Cricetulus griseus: one gene and its partner. The protein of the gene in region 2 interacts with the protein of the main gene of each other region in a biochemical or structural test. Links are inferred from orthologs where the notes say so. Each region holds a gene or a part of one and is shown on either strand. Other genes may lie near its edges.

What was found. The genes of interacting proteins can lie anywhere in the genome.
Region 1: the proteins of Nub1 (region 2) and Ubd form a complex in vitro, tested with the Homo sapiens proteins (6 studies listed by BioGRID, with this or other methods). The link is inferred for Cricetulus griseus from reciprocal best matches to the Homo sapiens genes NUB1 and UBD.

Annotation. Positions count from the first base shown.
Region 1 is NW_023276806.1:228,538,517-228,546,572, forward strand, and holds Ubd (ubiquitin D), read right to left. Parts: upstream 4,189-8,056; 5' UTR 3,646-4,188; coding exon 3,628-3,645; intron 2,320-3,627; coding exon 1,852-2,319; 3' UTR 1,475-1,851; downstream 1-1,474. UniProt on the Homo sapiens protein: Ubiquitin-like protein modifier which can be covalently attached to target proteins and subsequently leads to their degradation by the 26S proteasome, in a NUB1-dependent manner.
Region 2 is NC_048601.1:97,827,445-97,835,064, forward strand, and holds part of Nub1 (NEDD8 ultimate buster 1), read right to left. Parts: intron 7,261-7,620; coding exon 7,143-7,260; intron 5,446-7,142; coding exon 5,278-5,445; intron 2,484-5,277; coding exon 2,425-2,483; intron 1,621-2,424; coding exon 1,550-1,620; intron 1-1,549. UniProt on the Homo sapiens protein: Specific down-regulator of the NEDD8 conjugation system. Recruits NEDD8, UBD, and their conjugates to the proteasome for degradation. Isoform 1 promotes the degradation of NEDD8 more efficiently than isoform 2.

The sequences.
Region 1 (8,056 bases), on a different chromosome or scaffold from region 2:
TTATGGCGCTGGACCGCGCCGCTGCCGTATGCCGCCCTCTGCATTACGCCTCACTCGCCTCACCCCGCTTGTGCCGCGCACTGGCCAGCGCCTCCTGGCTTGGTGGCCTGGCTAACTCAGCTGCGCAGACCGCCTTGCTGGCGGCGCGTCCGCTGTGTGCGGCCCGGCGTCTGGACCACTTCATCTGCGAACTGCCGGCGCTGCTACAGCTAGCCTGCCGCGGCGGCCGCAGCGCCACCGAGCGCCAGATGTTCGCGGCGCGGGTGGTCATCCTGTTGGTGCCTTCTGCCGTCATCCTGGTCTCCTATACCGCCGTGGGGCGCGCGGTCTGGGGTATGCGCTCCCGCGCAGGGCGGCGAAAAGCGGCGAGCACCTGTGGCTCTCACTTGACCGCTGTGTGCCTATTCTATGGCTCTGCCACCTACACTTACCTGCAACCCACATATAGTTACAACCAGGGTCGCGGCAAGTTCGTCTCGCTCTTCTATACGGTGGTCACACCCGCGCTCAATCCCCTCATCTACACACTGCGGAACAAGGAAGTGAAGGGAGCGGCACTGAGGTTCTTGAGGAGTCTGGGGAGGCGGCAGGTCGGACAGTGAGAGGACTAAGGAGAACACAGGGTCCGGGGATCTAGGATGACCATATTGTTAGTCTTTGCATGAAAATCTGCAATTTTGCCCTCGAGGAGTTCAGGGTTGGCAAGAGGGAGATCCCTTTCTCTCACTGGCTAGGATTTGGATTCTTGAGGGGAAATCCCGGAAATATCTAAACACACAACTATAGTGATGGGGTAAACGGCTCTTAAGACTTTCGACAGAAGGGAAGCATGATGAAGGAGGGGGACATCGTCACCCTCAGGAGACTTGGTAACCACTCCTGAAGAATCCACATGGAGATAAGACGATGGGCACCCTGGTGCTGACCTTTAGTTTTCCCCAAGTTTACAAAAGACCGTGAATAATTCCATGGTCTCAGCCATCAGGCAGAGTCCTTGTGCCCTACCTTACAGCAATAGCTTCCAGAAACAGGATGCAGTTTCTCTTCTTGGGGAGCCAGCCCAGCTAATACAGAACAAGCCAGGTGACCAGTGTCCACCACAGGGCATAAGACTACAAGGAAAATCTGCATGTATAGGCAGTTGTGCCAGGCCTGGTTAAGCTGGGAATCCCATCTGCAGGATATGGCTTTTGAACTAGTTTTAAAGAAGAGAAAGGACTAGAATTGGTGAAGATGAGAGAGCAGCCATGCATGTGGCCAGGAGTGAGACAGAGGAGCAAATAGAAAGAAAACGGAGAAAGCTATTTGATGGTGAAGGAAGTTCTATCAGTCAGAAGAACCCAGAAGTTAACCCCTTCCCTTCCTTACCCAGAGATGAACATTTTGTTAGGTGTTAGACACAGCAGATGGAGAAGGTACTAGATTTTATTTCATATCAAATATCTTTAAATAAGAAGAGGGGATGATAAGTAAATGAATTTCTAAATCATTTATTAGACTGTGATCCTATTGGGGCAAAAAAATCATAATACATTACTTCTCTGTAAGTAGACTCAATTTGGTTCAACAATTATTCAAGAATCCACCTGTCCCTGACTCCCCAGTCCTGGAATTAAAAGTGTATACTACCACACCTGACTAATATTTCAGTTTCCGCTCTCAGCAGCAATCCTGCCACTCAATGAAGTATGTCAGAAACAAGGAATCACGGACTTGACAAATGTTTTTAATCCACCCCCTCATCTCCAATTTTTATTTCATTGTCCTTAATTTTTGGAAATCATCAAAGGATGTGATTGGTAAAAGCTAAAAGGGGTGGGCTTTGATCCTCTTATCACCCCATCCACATAGTCAACCCCCAATGCAGTGCCCTGTCAGAAAGAGCAAACTGCCCCTCCTGATGTTGTAGTCAGCCATGGTCTTTCCATCTTCCAACCTCTTTCCATTGCAAGTCACAATCTGAGTCTTGGGGGTCACACCAGTCACACCCTCAATCATCTCTTTCACCTGGGCCACTGAGCTGGATCTTCGAACTGGGAGGAGGTGCCTTTGCCCTTCATTGGTTGACTCCACCAGAAACAAGTGCAGCTCTTCATCGCTGGGCTTCACCACCTTCAGCGTGAGGTGGATGGTTGTTTCCTTGTTAATGCCATAAGATGAGAGTGTTCTCTGGGGCTTGAGGGTCTTGGGGCCTAGCAGAAGGACCTGGTCCTGCACAGAAACCTTGGTTTTGGATCTGATATGTTCATTTATCTTCTTCACTTTGTCATTCTCAGTAGCGTCAAAGGTCATTGATGGCCATTTCTCAGAATGGACAATCTAAGAAAACAAAGGCAAGGAAGTCACCTAGAATGCCTGCCACCCTCTACACCCTACCCCTCACGTTCATTGTTCCATCTGCTTGGCCCTCCAGCTCCTACCCAACAATCTTATCTCTCCCTCTATTGAAACTTTTGTTTAATTGCCATATTATGACACAAATTAAAACATTAGTCTCATTCCTCTTGAGATATGTATATATACATATATATCCAATGTAATCACCAATTTCCTACCTTATTAATTTGCCTCTCCTAAGCCAGATATCAAAAGTAAAGACAATACAGGGCTTCAAAAGATGTATACAGATTCTTAAACAACTCCGAAGCAGATTTCCCAGATGTGGCAGCTTCAGAGGATACTCTCAGCCGTGCTTCATTCACCCTCTATGTCTAATTCAGAATGAACCCTGATTAAGTCATAATCTCCACACCGTTGCTTTCTTATTAACGTTCCCATCAATTTCTGTTAATGCCCAGGTTGTGGTGATGCTGTGCTTAATATTGTTTATATATTTTTTGTATTTTTTGTAACTATTGTTATAAAGCATAATATCCTCATTTAATTAAACCAGGATCCTAATCCTGAAGATAGGAACTATATCTAAGTTTAATTTCATTCGCTGCAGAATTCTGGAAGATGGGGGGAGAATCAGGCCTGCAAACCCTATGGAAACCTTCTCATACTCCATTAAAAAAAAACATCTTCCCAACCTAGATATTTCAGCTGTTCCTTCAGTGGAGGTGTCATCCTGTGTTGGGCACTGCCCTGATTGCAGGTTCTCTTCATGAGGACATAGTCTCACTTAAGGTAACATGTTAGATCACTGATAACTTAAATGAGATTAGGGGAATTTTCCTTTGAAAAGAGAAAAGCTTAAGGATGAGAACTCTGAAAATTATTTCTCTAATTTCACAGCTTGCCCATCCTGGTTGAAGCACAGTGCCCTGCCATTTCTCCCCAGTTTATCTGGCAAAATGGCTTATCTGATAAAATGTTCTTGCCACCAAGCCTCACCACCTGAGCTGATCCCTATGACCTAGGTGGTGGAGGGACAGAACTGACCCCAGCAGATTGTCTTCTGACCCTGCCCCTGCATGTGTGTGTACATACACAACAAATACAATAAGCCAAGTGACCAACCTCTCTCCAGAGTACCTCCTTTCTGTTGTGCAGTTATCAATGTCTGCCTTGCCTCTTAAACTGTGCCCACCCAACCACCTCCCCATCCAGGCACTGTACCCCCCTGAATTGTGGAACTGCATTCCCAAATGCATGGAAATACTTTCCCTTCAGACCCCAACTTACACAGATGCAGGAGGCCATGTCTGTAATGAAAGGCTGAGTGAGAAGAGAGTCCCGGAGTCTGCTTATATGTGAGTATCTGGGTTGGAAATCCCCAAGACCGTTGTGTTGTCCAGTTTAGAAACAACCTTTGTCCTCAAGAATTTCCTTTTGCTTTCTTTGGGGTGGAGTTAGTAATGGACACTCTTTGTACAAACTTCTTCCCTTAGTCTACTCCATCTGTACTCCTAGTTCTGAACATAGTATAGCCCTCCTATGATAAGGGCTTCCAAACCCACCTTATTACTGCCCAGCCATTGGCCTTGACTTTCACTGGCTTGATAATTCATGATACTTGGTAGCCCTCTCCAACTGCTTTTAAGAGCTCCAGACCTCTCTAGAAGCAAGGATACCCAGAGAGGACAGGTAGTATTGGTGCTGACCGACCAGACTATCAGGAACCTTTTCCCAATAACTGGGAAGAATGTATAAGACATTCGTATAAGACACAAGAGAAAATGACCCTGGACTTCAGAGTTATGTTATGGAAATATGCTCCCCTCTTTTAACACAGGTCTATAAAATTAGATAATTGTAGGCCATTCTTAATGTCTCCCCAGCTCAGAAAACCTTGCTTATAAAATGTTTATAAACACACACACACACACACACACACACACACACACACACACACACTTTGGATTCTCGGGTTTTGAACCTCTAATACATTTCCAACCCTGACTCAGGACCTGTAAATCAAACATATTACTTGAGAACAATCCAAAGCCAACAGTTAAATCCTGACTCCCACCTTTCTCCATATGTATACCACAGTTCCTGGATTTCCCCACTGTGATTCTTGGATACCTTCCTCCTCCTTGAGCTCAAAGGCACATGAAGGTGCTACTAGTTCCCTCACTCATGAGATTTGCTTAGATAAGACCAAGAATGTGAGTGAGCTGTGTGTCCTCAGGAAACTTACCCAATTACTCTAATACCAATAATATTCCTAATATTCCAAGCTTGTCACTGGCTTCTCAGGACATTCCATGGAACTAATTTTCAAAATTGTTTATTAAAAGTACTTTAGATATTTTCAAAGAATCCTGTAAAATTCCAAGTTATTATCTTTGTTTTCAGTATTTGCAGTGGCTATGTACAAATACCTTCACCTACTGAAATTTCTCTCACCCTCCTCAGTTCCTCCCCCATCCTCCTCACCTCCCTACCCATCCAACTTTATGGTCTTTCTCTATCTGTGTGTCTCTCAAACACACACACACACACACACACACACACACACACAAAAAAAAAAAAAAAAAAAAAACCCACAAAAATGAAAATCAAAACAAATAAGCAAAAGACCAATGAGACAGAAAATGCCAAAATAAAGCAAAATGAAACAAAAAGCCCACAAAAATACCAATGAGTTAGTCTGTATGTCAACTACTCCTGAATATGAGGCCTACTGTAAAGTATGGTTAATTTACCCAATGAGAGACTCCGTTGGAGAAAACTGATTTTTCCCTTTGCAATGCAGTATCAATTACAAACAGTTTCTTAGTTAGGGGTGGCACCATCCCTCCTTCTCCTACTGGAAGATCTTAAACAATTTCATTTTATTCTAGAAGGTCCCATTCTGAAGAACTTGGATTTACAGAGTACCTGGGTATAGTAAGACAATCTAAAAGCTTACTCAAATATTTTGAAATTCTAATGAAAAGTATATTGAAGCTCTTCTATTATTGATGTATTTGGTGGAGTAATATACTTTTTTAAACACAGGATTCACATGAAGGGAAGAATGCCTTGTAGAATATACTGAGTGCCGCTGGTTCTACTCTTCTCTCAGATCTCTCTCAAACTCCCAATTGTCCTCAAGGATTAAAATCCCAGTTTCTGACCACAACTGTTCAACAGGATCTTGGAATTCAGAAACATCATCAGTCTCCAGCAGAAAAATTCATCTCAGATTGAAGGTGAATGGGAAATAGCCTTGTAGGGGGATAGTGAGAAGGCCTGACAGAAGAGAAAGGCCAAGCTGCCAAGCTTGGTCTGCAAAGAGCTCCTTCACCTTTTAATTCCTTTCCGAAGTCACTACCTTCTTGTATATTTATTCAGAATTGTTTGGGCCAAGACTTGGGCTCTGAAGCCCTCACAACCTAGGCTTGGCCATTCATCCTCCATATGCCAATTAAATAAACAGTAATAGTGAAAAGCAGAGAATGGAGATTTATTCAGAGTGGTCATATTATCTTCTAAGTGTGACCACTTTGAATAAGGGACAAAGAGGTCCAATGACCCTCCAAGTCCATCTTCAACTCCCTGACATGAGGTGTAGGTGTTGAAGAATCTAGGCGAATTCATAACAAGTTGTCTTAACCAAGGTGTGGTCCTTGCCATAATCATTATTTAGGCTCTCATCTGTCCTACATGGTAGCCTGACAAGTTACCAGAACTATGTGAAATCTCCTTCCAGGAGACCAGCTCTCTACTCTGCCATCTGACTGGCATCAGGTTTCAGTCTTTTCCTTCTCCCAGCATGAGATTCCTGAGGAAATTCCAATTTGGGTGTTAGGGAGGCCTATTGCCTCAACAGTTTGACAGCTAAAGAGAGGAACATAAATATCTCTTTAGAACGTTTTTGTTCCTGCCCAAGCGTTTAAATATTCATGTTTCTCTAGGCAGGCAAGAGGGAGAGTAGATGGTAAAATGTTGCTTATAGCTACATACTCTTTTAACTTTATGTCCTTCCTTGTCAGTGACTGTCTGGGTGCCAGCATTTGCATAGTCACAGGTAGCAAGAGCTGCCTTGACCAAGAGCTGCCAGGAGAGTACAGTGCGAGTTTATCATTCTTAGCAATGATTTTTATTAGGAATGATTTTTGTTGTCTGATACTGCAGATCTGCAGGTCCATCTTCATCAACACATTTCCTTTATTTTCTTAAACACATGGAGCTCTGCCTTCCCCAGTCAGTAAGCATACCTTTCCCTCCAACATTACTCACAACACCATGAGTGTGTAAGAGCACAACACAGGCAGCATTGCCTCCAAGAGCCCCTACTCTTTCCCTCTGGTTCTGGGTTATTCTCCCATACTTCCTCCTAAATTCTTTTGAAGCCTTTTTCTGTAGCAATGGGATCACCTATCTGCTTGTCTATCATCCCCAGTGAGTCCTTGAAGACCATGATTGTGTTTTAGAACACTTGCATGCTCAGCTTGTTATCTGGCATAGAAAGATGCTTAATAAATATACAGTGTGTGAATAAATTAATAAACTAATAACAAAAAGTAATATTTAATGAGAATTTATATTTCAGAAACTGCATAAGATTATTAAGCATGACCTAATTTGATGTTTTCATGTTGTGGTGAAGAATTGGTATCTTTAGGGATAAACAAGACCAACCCACTAAAGTACTTAAAACCCATTTAAGTACTAGCTAGTCAGCAAGATTCTAGTGCACATCTTTGCTACGCTAGTCCTTGGCTTCTAGTCATATTATTGTTGCCTCCAAAGGAAGGAAAGAACAGAGAAAACACCCACTGCCGATGGGGGTTTCCAGACTGTGAAGGAGAAGCTATCTGGGGGATTTCCCACCAGAGAGGACTTAGGTTCTGAGAAAGAGTGCCTTTTCAAGTAATATAAACAATAAGTCTGGACTCTGATCCTTTCTCTTTTTCTTCCTGTCCCCATCCTGCTCCACCACTTTCTTATCATCATCTGATTTCAAGGAAAAGAACACAAGTTCAAGAAGACAGCATGAAGAAATATTCATAGATCTCAAACCAAGAAAAGCTATAATACCAACAACAGAGAAAAAGGAGACATATTCTGAAATTCAGAGTGTGTTCACCTAACAGAAATGAAGCTGAATCTAAATGCTATGAGTTACTTGAAGATATTAAAGAGGAAATAAGAGTCTACAAGTCACACTGGCATTTCTTCATCTTATCCTATTCAAATTTAAGCTATTGTGATTAACCAAACATTGTTTTGAAGCAGTTTATTCCTTAAGAGATATAATGTACACTTAACTTTATTATAGGTAATATTATGATTTAAAATATTCTAGGTGAAATTATTACAGAATAATTAGATAATACAGCATTTTGAACCACATATCTGTATAATAAATATAAACATAAAAATATAGAAAAGTAAAAATATCCACTGCCTTGGCACATGTTGCTGATTCTCTTTGATCCCTAAACATAAGGGTACAAGCTAGAAGATACACAGAGGCTGTGTGCAACTCAATGATAGAGCTCTTAATTAACATGCATGATATATAAGTCTTATCCCTTCCCTGAAAAAACAGAAAAAGAAAAAGCTACACAAAGAATTAGGTGGATTCTCTTCAGGAATTTTGTTGTTATTTTTTTAGCTTCTCTGCTAATTTTCTCCACTTTTATGTATTCTTATAAATAGGCAAAAACTCTACCACTAC
Region 2 (7,620 bases):
TTCTACCATTCAAATACAAAAAGCAAGATCCACCTGGACAAAGGAGGTGGCAAGAGGAAAAGTCACCTGACTAGATTTTGTTGGTTTTTTTTTTTTTCAAGACAGGGTTTGTGTAGTGCTGGCTGCCCTGGCAGTCACTCTGCAGACCAGGCTGGCCTTGAAATCAGAGATCTGCCCGCCTCTACCTCCAGAGTGCTGGGATTAAAGGTGTGGGCCACCCAGCCCACCTGACTAGATTTTTGTGGGGGATGGGTGTGAAGGTCACAGGTCATCCAGTGTCTTCCTTAACAGCTTCTTCACATTATTCTTTTCAATTTTTTAGACTTATTTTACTTGGTGTAAATGAGTATTTTGCCTGCATGAGTGCAGGGATACCAACGTGCCATTGGATGTTGTGGAACTGAGCTATTGATTGTGAGCTGCCACATGGTGCTACAATAGAAACTGGGCCATCAGGCGGGCGGTGGTGGCATAGGCGATTACCCCAGCACTCAGGAGGCAGAGGTGGGTGGATTTCTGAGTTCAGGGCTACACAGGGAAATCCTGTCTTGAAAAGTGAAAGAAAAAGGAAGAAAGAAAGAAGGGAAGAAAGGAAGAAGGAAGGAAGGAAGGAAGGAAGGAAGGAAGGAAGGAAGGAAGGAAGGGAGAGAGAAAGAAAGAAAGAAAGAAAGAAAGAAAGAAAGAAAGAAAGAAAGAAAGAAAGAAAGAAAGATGAAACTTAGGGTTCTAGGGACTTCCCCTGGAGATCCATGAGCCCTCATGAACCACCTGAGCTGCTAAAGAGATAATGTATCTCGGCTTCCACTCATGCCTCCTGCAGATTGCAGCCAGTGGTCTGTAAGCCACAATGTCCCTGTGTGCACTCTGCAGTATCAGTGACCCCCATCTCTCTGAGGACAAACTCCATACTGAACAAAGCTCATTGTCGCAGGCTTCTCAGCAGCACTCACCATCTGGGGCAGATACCTGTGACGTGGGGCTTTTGTGAGGTGATGGGGACTGTCTTGCATTTGGCAGCCACTGATAGGCGTGCAGCCCCCACCCCCAACTAATTATAATCAAAATCGTCTCCTCACAAAGTCAGCTGTCCCTTGGAAGGTGAAACTGTCTTCCCCGGCAGAGACTCACTGCCGGAAGACTCCCATGGCCCATTTGCTCTCTACATTCAGAAAGGCCTCTACCCTACACTCAGTTTCCTTGGCTGTCCGCAGAGTGTTCCAACCTGGCCTGTCCACCCGTCTCTCTCAGGGTCATAGAGAGAACTGAGTAACCCAGATCCTCCTCTCAGCACAGACTTCCATTCTGGAATATTCTTGTGGCTGAAATCAATGTCTTTCTTCCCCACTACCCAGAGCAGGCCTGTGAATATTTATTGTAATGTCCTTTTCTGCTTTACATCTTCATTATGGTAAACTTTTAACATTAATTGACTTTGGATAATAAATGCAACATGGCCAGGAAGTTTTCAATAGAGGAAAAGCAAGAAAAAAATACAAAAAAATGGAAAGTCACTACTTATACATCAGATGCATTCTTTGCTATGACATACCTAGTTGAAGTTGTTTCTTATTTATTACGATCTTGATGTAATTTTCTTGAAATCCAAAAGTTTCGGCTATTCTATAAAATAAACACAGTATAAGCTGCAGGAAGCAAATCTGTTATTTGTTACCTACTATGAAGACTTGGATCATGATGGCCACTTAATAGGTTTTTACTTAGAAACACCCAGGCTATTCACCTATTGACCTGTAAACACGACTACAATAAAGCTGGTGCAGTGGCAGCTGCTGGGAGCTGAGTGAGCCAAGCTCTTTCTAAACTTGTATCTGAGCTGAGGATGTCCATCTGAGTCACACTCTCCCAGCATCCTCTGAGAACCCTGCAACTGTCCCATACCACTGCCTACTTGTGGGCATTGAATGAGTGATGCTTCCTCATTCTCCAACAGAACACTTGGGTTGACTGGCCTTTGCTGAATGAAGGTCACAGCAAACAATTAGTGCTAAAAAAGAATGGAATTATAAAACATGCTCTGTTCAGTGAAAAGATGGCTCCTGCTTCTATTCCTCAGTTACTCACTCAGGTACAAGTTGGGCACCTCCTCTGTGGGCCCCAAGCTGAACCCCTCTAAAAGCTGCACTGCATCCAAGAAGCTCCCATGAGCAGGTCTCACTCAGGCAGCCATGAGCAGGTCTCACTCAGGCAGCCATGAGCAGGTCTCACTCAGGCAGCCGTGTTGCCTCTTACCTAGCAGTGTGTGAACCCAGAATGACCTCTTTCTTGTCCCACCCTCCAGGTTTCATTTCTTCAGCTGTAAGAGGAAAACAGGCTGGCTCCCTCGCTTACAGGACAGCTTGAGAGCATTCAATGAACCAGGGTAAGAGGGGCAAACCTGTTGGGAAACATAGCTCAGATACTCACTTAGACCTCAGGTCTCTACCAGTGACATGTAAGCGGGTCTCCAATAAACTTTTCTTGTCCTGTTGAAAAAAGACAAAACTAAATGTACTTGAGTGTGACACTTCTTTGGACTGCTACCCTGCATGTAAGGTTGTAGGGTACTGTGACAGGATGTAAACTCGGGTTCTACTTAAGGACAAACCACTGCCTGTACAGAGAAGCATAAACACAGTCCAGCACAGACTGACAGAGTGACCTGAGTACCCCTTGAGTGCTCAGTGGGACTTGTCACATGGCCAGCCATCATCATCAAAGTGCATGACACTGGAGGGATGGCTCAGTGGTAAGAGCATATACTTCTTTTAGAGGACCTGAGCTCACTTCCCAACATCCACTCGAGCAGCTCACACCTGACTATAATCCACCCTGAGGATCTAATTTAATTTACTCTTGGCCTCTGGGGGCACTTTTGTTTACATGCACAAACCCAGAGACACATACTTATATATAATTAAAAATACAAATAAAATCTTAAGACAGGGCTGGAGAGAAGTTAAGAGCACTGACTGCTCTTCCAGAGGTCCTGAGTTCAATTCCCAGCAACCACATGGTGGCTCACAACCATCCGTTATGAGATCTGGTGCCCTCTTCTGGTGTGCAGATATACATGGAAGAAGAATATTGTATACATAATAAATAAATAAAATCTTTTAAAAAAATCCTAAGACAATGAAATGTTTAATAGAATTTCTGAACATTCCCCACTCACCACCTATCACCAGGTACCATGCCCTACACCCCATCCCTCTTCTTCCCAGCCTTGCAACCATTTCTTTTCTATTTTGGACAAAATAGAAAAGTTGTCTACAAAGTTGTCTATTTTGGACTCTTCACTGAAGGAGACCACAGAGCGTCAGGCCTTTTCTGCACGTTTCTGAGGTGGCTCATATTGCAGACTATTAGTGTTGTGTTGTGTATCTGTGCCACCAGCTGTCTTCTGTGGCGTGGGTGTATCTGTTTATCCACACATCCACTGATGGCAGTTAGGCTTCTCCCTCTCAGCCATCATGAGTGGTGCTACTGTGAATGCTCACCAGTCAGTTTATTCTTGCGTTTCATGTGTTATTGGGAGTGCACATGTGTGATGTGTGTGAGATCCAGAGACTGGTGACAGGTGCCCTGATTACTATCTACCCTTCCCTTCCCTTTTCTTTTCTTTCTTTCTTTCTTTCTTTCTTTTTTTTTTTTTTTTTTTTTTTTTGGTTTCTTTGAGATATGGTTTCTCTGTGTAGCCCTGACTCTCCGGAACTTAAATTGTAGACCAGACTAGCCTTGAACTCAGAGTTCTTTTTTTTTTTCCCCTCCCAAATAGAGTCTCTCATTGATTCACTGGCCAGTGAGCTTCAGGGATCCATCCACATCCCTGTAAGCCTATAACACTCAGGGGTTGAGTTACAGGAACCCTTACACACCTGGCTTTTTACATGGATTCTAGGGATCTGAACTTAAGTCCTCATGCTTGCATGGCAGGCACTTTTACTGTTTTGTAACATGCGTTGTTTTTTCCTGCCTTTGAAAAAAAGTGTGTGTGTGTGCGCGCGTGCGCGCGCGTGTTGGGGCAGAGAGGACATGTGGGTGTGCCATGGCACGCCTGTGAAGATCAGAGGACAGGGCTGTGGTCGCAGTTCTCTCCTGCCTTTAATGTGGATGCCGGGGAATCCCAATGACATCAACAGGCTTTCTGGCAAGCATTTTAACTGCTGAACCATCTCACCTGCCCACATACAAATTTTGAAAATGGTCAACATTGTTTGGTTCTGAGAAGGCTGTAAAGTGCTTGCCAGGAAAACATGCTGACACGTACTACCTGAGGATGAGGCCCTGTGACAAGGGGCTAGTCCTGTTCAGCACTTAGCTGACTACGGTCCATCCATCAGAATAGGACTTCTTCAGGGAGTGTCCTGCAACATAGGACTCTAAAACCTGCTGTCTACTTTGACTTCTTAAAATTTATTTCCCGTCACGTTTATTTTACTTGTACAGGTGTTTCCCTCCATGTATGTCTGTGTATCATGTGTGTGTGATGCCCAAGGAAGCTAGAAGAGGGCATTGGACCACCCCGGGACTGGAGTTAAAGATGGCTGTGAGCTGTACTGTGAGGGCTGAGAACTGAACCTAGGTCCTCTGGAAGAACAGCCAGTGTTCTTAACCTCTGAGCCATCTCTCCAGCCCTACTTCTCAGTATCTGTAATCATTAAACTAGAAAAGGTACAAACACACAGCTCTGTACATGGTTTTTTTTTTAATTTTTTGAAGTTACATTTATTAATTTAGCACTATCACACCATGGAGCACTTGTGATCATAAGACAACTTGTAGGAGTCAGTTCTCCTTCTACCGTTTGGGTTCTGAGGAACACATCCCAGTCATTAGGCTTGATGACAAAAGCCTTTACCTGCTAAGCCATCTCACTGGCCCATGGACTGGCCTTGAGCTCACTGTGTAGCTGAGGATAACCCTGCCTCAGTCTCCCTGGTGAGATTACAACGGCACTACCATGCCCCCCACTTCTGTGACTGATGTTTTAAAGAACAAGCTACCTTAAATGTATCATCACCATTCAACACCTGCAGTTCCTTAAGCACTCTCTGGCAGATTTACAGAAACAAGCGCTCACTGGGCACTGTGGCACATGCTCTAGCCCTAGCACGTGGGAAGCACAGACAGAGTAGGCCCTGGGAATTCAAAGTCATCGGGTCTGTATATGAAGTTCCAGGACAGCAGGACCACACAGAGAGACCCTGTCTCAAAAAGCCAAACCGAACAAACCAACAACTCAATTACAGCAGGACATGTGCAGCGGGCGTTACTCACCCTCCTGAGTCTGGGAGGCAGGAACACCTCGATTGTGGCAATCCCGGTTGCTCGGTAGTGCTCATTCCCTGTGCCGCGCTCAACTGCTTTGCAGCGGATCTCTTCTATTGCGTTCTCCACTTCATCTTCACAGCACTCGAGGCGGTCAGAGTACTTCTTAACAAGGTCCTGGGAGGAGAGACCAGGCTGCAGCTCCCCAGAGCTCCAGTGCAAAAATACGGAAAGAAAAAACTCCCCAAAGCAACGTAACTGACAAGCGGAGGCCCCCTCATACTGAAATTCAATCTCAGCTCCCAGGGAGGATTCAGGGAGAAATTAAAGCACTTACAAATAGTAAACATTTCCGTAGCAAAATGAGAGTAACTGGGATTATTCCGGGGGACAGAAAGGAGGGCTGAGACCCTTATGGCCTTAATATATTAGAAAGTACTTTAAGGAGCAGTGAACCAGGGCCACTGAGATGGCTCAACAAGTAAAGGCACCTGCAGCCACGCCTGTTGCCTTGAGTTCAGTTTCTGGGCCCTACATGATGGGAGAGAATCAAGTTCCAAATTGACTTCTAACTTGTGTGTACATGCACAAACACACACACAACTACTTTTTTAAGTTGTGGAGGCTGGAGAGACGGCTCAGGGATTCAGAGCATTTGTAGCTTGCAGGAGACCTGGGTTCAGCTCCTCACACCCATAGGGTAGCTCACCACCATCTGTAACTCCAGTGCCAGGGGATCCAATGTCTTCCCTCTTTCTGACTTCCAAGGGCACCAATCACACATGTGGTGCATACATGCACTAAAAATACTCACACATGAAATAAATATAAAAATCTTTTTAAAACAGTGAACTATTCATTGTCATTGGATGGGAAAAAATTTAAAGCAAAAAATTCTAATTTTTCAAACTGTATGAGATCAAGACAGATTAAATAACCTTTTTTATTTGGTTAGGTTTTTTCGTTTTGCTTATTTTTTAAAAAAATATTTGTTTATTTATTTATTTAGGTTTTTCGAGACAGGGTTTCTTTGTGGCTTTAGAGGCTGTCCTGGAACTAGCTCTTATAGACCAGGCTGGCCTCGTACTCAGAGATCCACCTGCCTCTGCCTTCCCAGTGCTGGGATTAAAGGCATGAGCCACCACGCCCACTGCTTTGTTTTTTAAAGATTTATTTATTTATTATGTATACAGTGTTCTGCCTGCATGTATCCCTGCAGGCCAGAAAAGATGGTTGTGAGCCATCATGTGGTTGCTGGGAATTGAACTCAGTGCTTTTGGAAGACCAGCTAGTGTTCTTAACCACTGAGCCATCTCTCCAGTCCCTTGGTTTTGTGGTGTGTGTGTGACAAACTCCTACTCATAATACATTTTAAATAGTCATTAGGAGAAGATGGGAAGAATATACCAATATCAATGATATTTACTATATTTTTAAAAATATATTCTTTGAGATAGGATCTCAGCCAGGCGTTGGTGGCTCACGCCTTTAATCCCAGCACTGGGGAGGCAGAGGCAGGCGGATCTCTGAGTTCAAGAGAGCTAGTTCCAGGACAGCCTCCAAAGCCACAGAGAAACCCTGTCTCGAAAACCAAAAGAAAGAGAATGAAATGCCAATAATAGGACTGGGGGTGTGGCTTGGTGGTAAAGAGCTTGCCTAGCATGTGTGAAGCCCTGGGTTCTACCTTTAGTGCTGAAAAAAATTAAATTAAATTTTTAAAAATTAAAAATTAAATTTGTTCTTTACTAAAGGTTTTAGTGCTTCTAAAAATTTTCACAGCTGTGCCTGATAATTTCTGGGGACTCCAGACTAGTATTTACTAAGGGAGTTATGACATTGCAAAAGATTTACATTACATATTAAAAGAAAAATACCTTTAAGGCCAAACCAACTTCTTTATTTTCATCAGTATATGGAGGTTTCCAAAGTTGAATTCTATCTTCCCTTAGAAACTGGGTCAATTTTGCTTGAAGATATTTCTTCTGTGCCATCCTTGAAAGTAAAACTGTAAATCAATAAATCACATCACAGTTTAAAATGCTTTACATATTACCTAATCTACGGAGGTGTTCTGCAAAGTAAGTGGAGTTCCCCTCTGTGCCTGTCAGTTTAACCTAAACTACTGTATCTAATTACATGTAAGTCGATATAAAATGTTTCTTTTGTTGTTCTTTTGGTTCCCCCAACCCCACCCCCAGTAAGGGTTTCCAGCAGCCATCGGCTCCCTAGTGCTGGGACTAAAGGCATATGTTACCATACTTAGCTTAAAATGTCTATTTCAAACTTGCTAATATGTAGCAAGGAGTAGTTTACGCTCCTGTTTTCTGTGCAAGGAGGGAACAAACCAGGATA